Saccharomyces cerevisiae S288C: one gene and its partners. The protein of the gene in region 1 binds, or shares a complex with, the protein of each later gene. Each region holds a gene or a part of one and is shown in the gene's direction. Other genes may lie near its edges.

The links. Proteins that work in one complex are often made in the same cells at the same time.
Region 2: LSM5 (region 1) and LSM2 share a complex: the UniProt entries of both Saccharomyces cerevisiae proteins name them as parts of the spliceosome U4/U6-U5 tri-snRNP complex.
Region 3: the proteins of LSM5 (region 1) and LSM6 are in contact, whole or in part, in a crystal structure (PDB 4M78), measured with the Saccharomyces cerevisiae proteins. Residues at the interface, in NP_011073.1 of Saccharomyces cerevisiae: Leu24 (codon at 1,829), Arg28 (codon at 1,841), Phe30 (codon at 1,847), Val35 (codon at 1,862), Phe37 (codon at 1,868), Asp38 (codon at 1,871), Asn42 (codon at 1,883), Ile44 (codon at 1,889), Glu50 (codon at 1,907), Leu52 (codon at 1,913), Val64 (codon at 1,949), Met65 (codon at 1,952), His67 (codon at 1,958), His68 (codon at 1,961), Gly69 (codon at 1,964), Arg70 (codon at 1,967), Met71 (codon at 1,970), Leu72 (codon at 1,973), Leu73 (codon at 1,976), Ser74 (codon at 1,979); in NP_010666.2 of Saccharomyces cerevisiae: Val11 (codon at 1,949), Thr12 (codon at 1,952), Phe15 (codon at 1,961), Leu16 (codon at 1,964), Asp18 (codon at 1,970), Asn25 (codon at 1,991), Lys27 (codon at 1,997), Leu33 (codon at 2,015), Met45 (codon at 2,051), Glu57 (codon at 2,087), Ser58 (codon at 2,090), Asn59 (codon at 2,093), Val78 (codon at 2,150), Met79 (codon at 2,153), Tyr80 (codon at 2,156), Ile81 (codon at 2,159), Ser82 (codon at 2,162), Glu83 (codon at 2,165), Gln84 (codon at 2,168).

What each region holds. Positions count from the first base shown.
Region 1 is NC_001137.3:460,826-463,381, forward strand, and holds LSM5 (RNA-binding protein LSM5), read left to right. Parts: upstream 1-1,759; coding exon 1,760-2,041; downstream 2,042-2,556. Other genes in the region: high-affinity iron permease FTR1, read right to left, coding at 1-915; YER145C-A (uncharacterized protein), read right to left, coding at 1,561-1,998; cohesin-loading factor complex subunit SCC4, read right to left, coding at 2,143-2,556. UniProt on the Saccharomyces cerevisiae protein: Component of LSm protein complexes, which are involved in RNA processing and may function in a chaperone-like manner. Component of the cytoplasmic LSM1-LSM7 complex which is involved in mRNA degradation by activating the decapping step.
Region 2 is NC_001134.8:168,613-171,538, forward strand, and holds LSM2 (Sm-like protein LSM2), read left to right. Parts: upstream 1-2,010; coding exon 2,011-2,064; intron 2,065-2,192; coding exon 2,193-2,426; downstream 2,427-2,926. Other genes in the region: 60S ribosomal protein eL19 RPL19B, read left to right, coding at 197-764; RRN10 (Rrn10p), read left to right, coding at 2,869-2,926. UniProt on the Saccharomyces cerevisiae protein: Component of LSm protein complexes, which are involved in RNA processing and may function in a chaperone-like manner. Component of the cytoplasmic LSM1-LSM7 complex which is involved in mRNA degradation by activating the decapping step.
Region 3 is NC_001136.10:1,228,849-1,231,527, reverse strand, and holds LSM6 (U4/U6-U5 snRNP complex subunit LSM6), read left to right. Parts: upstream 1-1,918; coding exon 1,919-2,179; downstream 2,180-2,679. Other genes in the region: GTPase-activating protein RGA2, read right to left, coding at 1-1,361; ATP17 (F1F0 ATP synthase subunit f), read right to left, coding at 2,612-2,679. UniProt on the Saccharomyces cerevisiae protein: Component of LSm protein complexes, which are involved in RNA processing and may function in a chaperone-like manner. Component of the cytoplasmic LSM1-LSM7 complex which is involved in mRNA degradation by activating the decapping step.

The sequences.
Region 1 (2,556 bases):
AAGAACCAACCAATAGATGTTGTAACAAAGCATGGATGACAAGTAGCCGGTGTTCTGCCATCCAAGCAAAGCATTGAAGATATCCCACCCATTGTCCAGTTCTGGGTTGCAACAATTGACATGGTAAACGGCCTTTCTGATGTTATAAGACCCATTACCATCACCGCCTTCGGAAGCATCACCACCACTGGCAAGGTTGAATCTGTAATTTTCAAAGTACCACGCACCACGAGAGAAAAGACCGGCGGAGATCAGGTACAAGATCGAAGTAGACAAAATCAAGAAAATCTGCAGCGAGGATTTCGAAGCACCATAGTACAACAAATACCCAACAAGACCACCACATATCAAACCAACCACAACGGGCAATGGGTAAGCAGAGGCGTGCGAGCCCTGTGTGGTAATACCTGCACCGGCAACGAACACAACAGCTTCCAAACCTTCTCTCAAGACAGTAATAAACGGCAAAAGGAACATAGCATATCTTCTACTCAAGAACCCAATCTTGAAATAGTCTCTCTTACGGTGAGGAATCTCCACCAACGACCGCGCAATCTTCACTCTCCACTTACTCTGCATCTTATTCATTCTCAACATAGGAATACCCATCATCGAGATCATTATCGTCGCAATCATACAAAAGATACCTTCCCACAAGTCTTCCGCGCTTCCGAAAATATCCTTCTGCAGCGAATAGTACGCACCGATGAAACCTGCACCGATGGCCAGACAAATGATGAACCCGAGTAACACACCGACCCAAACCTGAATCCTTAATTTACGGTACAGCGCCCGGTCATGTTCCCCGATTGCCTGTTTCAAAAACGATAGCAGCACGGAAATAACAATCACTGCTTCCAAGCACTCTCTGAACACAACGAAGAAAACGGCCACGTTAAACACTTTGTTAGGCATGGCGGGAAGTATATGTGTGATGACCTGCTGAGAGAAGATTTCGACAACGTACAATCCGTCGTGTTATGTATTTTTTTGCTCACATTGAGCATTTTATATAACTAAAAGCTCAAGGTCGAACTACAGCCCATCGCTTCCACCGGGCCTTGCAACACCAACTTAGAAATCGGGTGCATTCATCTACGCTGTGCAGAGAATGAAATGCGCACCTTCTTACTGCTGCGACGGTGCTCGGCACGGCTTACGCGGGCGGGGGAAGGAAATAGCGGCCTGGCGTGAGTCGGCAGTCAGCGGCGGGCTCACTGTACTCGCTCGTTTAATGCACCAGCAGTATTCGCGCACTTAATAATAGTATTTCTGCACCCTGGCCTGGAAAGAATGCTCGATGCGCCCTGGTTGATTGGCGCAGAGCGTGTGTCAGTGCCGGACCCGATTTCTTTTTTTCTACACGTTGGTCTGATGTCTCAGGAGTTAGTAGTGACCGTGGTCAAGAAAAAAACAGGACGAAAAATTGTTGAGAACGTATACGTATATTGTATTCTTCTTTTTTTTCTTTGCTGCCCTTTTATTATCTATTTCATTTTTTAACCAGAGGCAATCGTAAGAGAGAGATAATATAGCCCTTTTTGGTCTTTTTTGGCACCTTCAGCCGGACCCTGCTCTTTTATTACCCGGATGCTCGGGTTTTGTCTTTGCATCCGGGTAGCAAAACAGAATACTTGCTTTCTTATTGAAGTAGAAAAAATACAGAGAAAGCGAAAAAGGCTTCCTTGGCGGATAGATGGTCTCACAACAAGCATAGCGTATACACGTGCACTCACAAGCATACACAGAAGCGCGCAAAATGAGTCTACCGGAGATTTTGCCTTTGGAAGTCATAGATAAAACAATTAACCAGAAAGTGTTGATTGTGCTGCAGTCGAACCGCGAGTTCGAGGGCACGTTAGTTGGTTTCGACGACTTCGTCAACGTTATACTGGAAGACGCTGTCGAGTGGCTTATCGATCCTGAGGACGAGAGCAGAAATGAGAAAGTTATGCAGCACCATGGCAGAATGCTTTTAAGCGGCAACAATATTGCCATCCTTGTGCCAGGCGGCAAAAAGACCCCTACGGAGGCGTTGTAAAAAGGCAAAAATTAACGCGAATTTGTATAGTGCATCTAAAAAAAATAATTAAGTATAAAAATAGATAAAGGAAATCAAGTGTTTCTTTTTTTTTTTTTGGTTTATTGTTTGACACTGGTGATTTGCTTAACCAGCGCCTCCAGCTTCGCGTTCGTGAGAGCGACGTCTTTTCCCCGCATCGCCACCGTACAATTCATTAAATGCCATATTCCGATCACGTATTGGACCTTGCGCATGCCGCCCTGCTGGCGGCACATATCGAAACACTTTGCTGAAATCGCATAGATCTCGCCCAGATCGTGTTCGAGCATTCGACCGCCTAAGTAGTTTACCAGTATTTGCAGCAACAGAGCCTTCTTCAATTTGAAGCGGTTGTCCGCAACGGCTTCTCCGGCAACGAACTTGTTGCTAGAGTAGAACTCGCGGAGCTTCGACACGTACTCGGCGCGCTGCTTGTCACTACATGGCAGCGGGTTCCAACTGAACGGCTCGAAATGGCTGAAAAGCCATAGGAT
Region 2 (2,926 bases), on another chromosome or scaffold:
GCGTTTATTACAAACTATAGAATTATCGCAGCAATGGTACGTGTCTGTTCCTGCAAGCGTTAATTCGATTGATAGATAAAGTAATTCATTAACCTTTGCGAATATGCTCTTTACTGTTAGGTTTCAGGATTTTAAAAATGAAGCAACTTTACTAACATCAATATGCAAATAAATCTGCAAAAACTTTTTTTCACAGGGCTAACTTGCGTACTCAAAAGAGACTTGCCGCTTCTGTTGTCGGTGTTGGTAAGAGAAAGGTTTGGTTAGACCCAAACGAAACTTCTGAAATTGCCCAAGCCAACTCTAGAAATGCCATTAGAAAATTGGTCAAGAACGGAACCATCGTCAAGAAGGCCGTTACTGTCCACTCTAAATCTAGAACTAGAGCCCATGCTCAATCCAAGAGAGAAGGTCGTCACAGTGGTTACGGTAAGAGAAAGGGTACTAGAGAAGCTCGTTTACCATCCCAAGTCGTCTGGATCAGAAGATTACGTGTCTTGAGAAGATTATTGGCCAAGTACCGTGACGCTGGTAAGATTGACAAGCATTTGTACCACGTTTTGTACAAGGAATCCAAGGGTAACGCCTTCAAGCACAAGAGAGCTTTGGTTGAACACATTATTCAAGCTAAGGCTGATGCTCAACGTGAAAAGGCTTTGAACGAAGAAGCTGAAGCTAGAAGATTGAAGAACAGAGCTGCTCGTGACAGAAGAGCTCAAAGAGTTGCTGAAAAGAGAGACGCTTTGCTAAAGGAAGACGCTTAATTGATTACAAATAATTAGCTAAGAAATTACGTACCTTCTCATTGTTCTATATATGTTTTATTTTCTCTAAAATGTACCAAATACAATAATAGTTTCAAAGGAGCAGAGAAAGAAACTAAGGTGAAGGAGACTGTTCGTAGAATAAATGAATATTGATTAAAATTTTCTGAAAAAAAGAGTAATGAAGTCGTAGTCATCGCTAATGTACCGTAAGTGAGTTCTGAAAGGAGGCGGGTTCTTGTTTCAACGTAGCTTGTCTAGTCCTTTATGGCATCGTGTAAAATTGGTATATATTCAGAACACCCAGGAGTGAATTGATTTGCTGCTATAGGGGGAAATAAGATGTAACGATATTTTTTGTACTGAATTTCTTTGATGATACTGCCAGGATTGAGAGTTTGGTTGCCACATGTACGCTTAGGACACTCATGACTATCACTCCTGTGTATCGCTTCCATGTCGTATACCCACTGGCCGATTCTCACCCTCTGCATTGTATGATATTACTAGTATTGCTTGTTTCAGGGGCAAGAATTTTCACTAATACACTACCAGTTTATGATAGCTTATCTACATCCTTTTACTGCAAAATTATTCTGGATTTGCAAAATTATTCTGGATTTGCAAAAGTTCGGCTTCACTATCAAAGCGAAAGGTGACCTTTTTATCGTACCTTTAAGAAAGATAGGCATAAACAATACTGTGTGGCAGGAAAAGATTTGATGAAGACCAAAAACAGCATCGAAGTGCTTTGCTACGATTTCTTTTTTTACTCTCCGGTTATTTTGAGCTATCTTGTCATTATATCTTTAAATTTATATATTTCTTTGCCCAGCTTTTAAGCGTTCACTGGAATTGCCCATATGTTCACTAAATATAAAACTGATTATTCTCTCCTCTATATTGTCATCTCGGCAGAAAAGCTACTTTTAAATAAGTTTTAAACACCAGTTTTCTGCAATGATAAAAATAGCTACTTTGGATAGAGGCTGAGGCCTAACTAGTTGGAAGAAACTACTTAGGGATCCTTTGTACGGGAAACTTTTTTCCGCTGTTGTAATTGTATCATTGTCGTTGTTCATTTTTCAAATCCAGGCAATGAGGAAGTTTTGAACCAAAAAAAATAAAACCGAAAACAGAGCAACTTTAATTATAGTACGGCATATAAGGAAAACAAATCCAGAATTCAATAAAAGAATACAATACTTTCGAACACATATCTCACGCTGATAACACCCTAGCAAGTATGCTTTTCTTCTCCTTTTTCAAGACTTTAGTTGACCAAGAAGTGGTCGTAGAGGTATGTTCATAATGATTTACATCGGAATTCCCTTTGATACAAGAAAACTAACGGGTATCGTACATCAATTTTTGAAAAAAGTCAAGTACTAACGTTTGTTTACCCCTGTTTATTGTGTTTCCACTCAGTTAAAAAACGACATTGAAATAAAAGGTACACTACAATCAGTTGACCAATTTTTGAATCTGAAACTAGACAACATATCATGCACAGATGAAAAAAAATATCCACACTTGGGTTCCGTAAGGAATATTTTTATAAGAGGTTCAACAGTCAGGTACGTTTACTTGAATAAGAACATGGTAGATACGAATTTGCTACAAGACGCTACCAGAAGGGAGGTAATGACTGAAAGAAAATAAGAATTATGCAGTCTATCCTCATGGCATTTTTTCTCATTAGTTTTTTACACGAGTATCATTTTAGGATATTGAGATTATATGTATATGTATATATGTAGGCCATAAGATGATTCAACGGTTTGTATTAATTATCCGGTTCCGAGCGTTAGGAGAAATAACTTGGTGTGATATCTGTCAAGTGGTCATCCAAAATTTTTTTGGCCAGAGCGTAAGCTACGTAGACTGATGAGGAATTCTTTTTTTTTGCCCCATTTTATCCCAAGAAATTCATTATGAGGTTTTGTTTTGTTTTACTAAATGCGCTTGATGGAAAAGCGAATGTCATGAAATGCAGATCAACACTCCAATAAAAAAGTAAATGTTTTTAAAGAAGTATATCACGCTACAAAAATTCATAAGCACTATATTTCGAACGTTAACCTAAATCTCTCCCACTAAGAAAATGGATAGAAATGTATATGAAGCCTGCAGCAATATAATTAAGGAATTTGGAACACATG
Region 3 (2,679 bases), on another chromosome or scaffold:
TCCAGCATTTCCGAAGTTTTACTTTTCAGGTTGTGAACAAAATTTTTGGACTTCAAAGAAAACGATCTTGAAAGTTTTTTGTTTGGAGAGGGTGCTACTTTTTTATGCGGCAATAAGTTATCTGCTGTTTGAGGCCTGCTGAAACTTCCATTATCAGACAAACGTAATGTCGATGAAGAGGTTGATGTTTTCATTTCTACGGTATCGGTTCTTGTAATCGGGGAGACATGATTCATAGATTTGGAAGTTGACGTTTGAATACCTTGAGATGATTTGTTATTTTCTTTCGTAGCTTCTGATAAAGTTAATGCCAGTCCATGCGGAGGTTCGACCTCTTCGTTCATTTGTACAGCCATAGGGCTGTTCAAAGGACTTGTAATTTTATCAGTGCTATTTCTGGGTGTGTTGACGATGATTTCATTCTCTTTGTTGTCTGTATCATCTTTGTCTGTCTCTTCTTTATCATAAATTGAAAAGAATCTATTCGCGTTCGAGTTCGAATTTGGGATCCTCGGATCCTTTACCACTATGGAATCTCGATTTGCTCTTTGTGGTTTTAATAGCCTATAGGTTACGTCTTCACCCATTTTGTTGATGTAGTCCTCATTATCCACCAAACTCTGCTCTTCAATGCTATTACTATCGTGTTCCAAAGTAGAGTTCAGAATGTCGTCAATAGAAACCGTCCTTGCGTGAGAAGATGTTTCCTCCCTGTCCTTGCTGTTATCATTATCATTATTGTCATTCAACGATGATTCATCTCTTTCTTGTGATACTAAAACTTGTGGAGTGAGCTGTTGATCCTCATTCGAGCTTACAAGGTTCTTACTTATTGCGGTGTTGTTTGTACTGACATCTGACTTACCATTTATTCTGGTGGGTGACAAGGGCCTTTTGACTGATCTTTCAGGAAGTTTTATGGGAAAATCTTCTTTCGATGAATTTTTTGTTTGATTTTCCAGTAATAGTTGTTTTTTTCTCAACAATTTCTCGTGACAATCCATACAACATAGTCCTCGTTTTGTCTTTGCATACTTTAAGTTCTTTATACGGTTGCTGCACCGACAGCATCTGAAACAATTGGAACAATAGGCCTCATTTGAGGAAGGCAGTATAATTGCTGTGTCGTCTATTTTATCGCCACAATTTGTACATTTATCTGAGCAGTCGTAACAAATTAATGTACCTATATCCAGAACCAAAAAGTCTGAATCTGCGTTCAATTTTTTGTCACATTTGTAGCATGTAAAGCACTGGTCATGCCATTTTTTGCTTTCTAATTCGTATACCTGGCTAGACGCGATTGATTTATTGCACCTCACACATAAAGACGATTGGTCATTAATAGGGTCAGCTGACATATTTTTTTCATCAAAATCTCCTTGCTCTTGAGATGCTACGTTATATTTCACTTTATTAAAAGTACAATGAACTCTTGGTAATAAAAGATAAGGATTAGAAACGCCAAGTATGCAAAGATGAAATGTTAATCAATAGGGGAGTCGACTGATCGATCTTCTGGCTAACATTCTCCAAGGAATGCCAATTTTCATATCTCGACCTGATACTGTTTACCCGAATGGGAAACTAAATTGACGTGCATTATCATTACAATTAAAAGTTACTGAAGCGATGCAACGATTTAAGCACAATTGAAGCGGCATAAATCGAATATCACTGTGGCTAATTAACTGGGTTATGTGTAGGAAATAAATGTTATTACGACTATAGGCCTTTCTTTTAGCCGTTTAATGTAAGATATTTCTATTATTAAAACATTTTACCCGGGGGCAGCTGTTCGTGTACAATGCCAAATAAGCAACGTCGCAGCAACCCATTCAATAATGCACAAGACGCCATATTAACGAGAAAATATGGCATTGCACAGTATAAGCAAAACAAGCAGAGATTATTAGTGATGTCCGGAAAAGCTTCTACAGAGGGTAGCGTTACTACGGAGTTTCTCTCTGATATCATTGGTAAGACAGTGAACGTCAAACTTGCCTCGGGTTTACTCTACAGCGGAAGATTGGAATCCATTGATGGTTTTATGAATGTTGCACTATCGAGTGCCACTGAACACTACGAGAGTAATAACAATAAGCTTCTAAATAAGTTCAATAGTGATGTCTTTTTGAGGGGCACGCAGGTCATGTATATCAGTGAACAAAAAATATAGACTTATCTCCTCTAATGGATTAATATGTAGGAATGAGCAAGTTGGTTTGACATAAAGTTGCATTTGCGAGTTTAGCACGGATACACACAAACACACCCATATCTATATACATATATATATATATGTGTGTGTGTATATCGAATAGGATCGAACAGTTTTATTTTAATGAATTTTTATGAATATATATTGTAAAGTTTACTCTCCGTCTCATTATTTTTATGCTTTACTAAAGAAAAAATGAATAGAGCCAGAAAGTGACGGAGTTTCCTTATAGACATATGAAAACAACGAAATTTTGTTCTATCACTTATGTACTCCTTTCAATTTCGCTCAAAAATTATTTGGATTTACCAAAAAGTTTTTCTTCTCTTTGCATGTTTGGTTTAAAAAGGCTTAAAATAAAGAATTTTCTACAAAAGTAAAACTCCACGTTCAATGCTCTTCCGCACCTTTATGATGTCTCAAATGAAAATAATATTCCATGGAATAGCCAAAGGCAA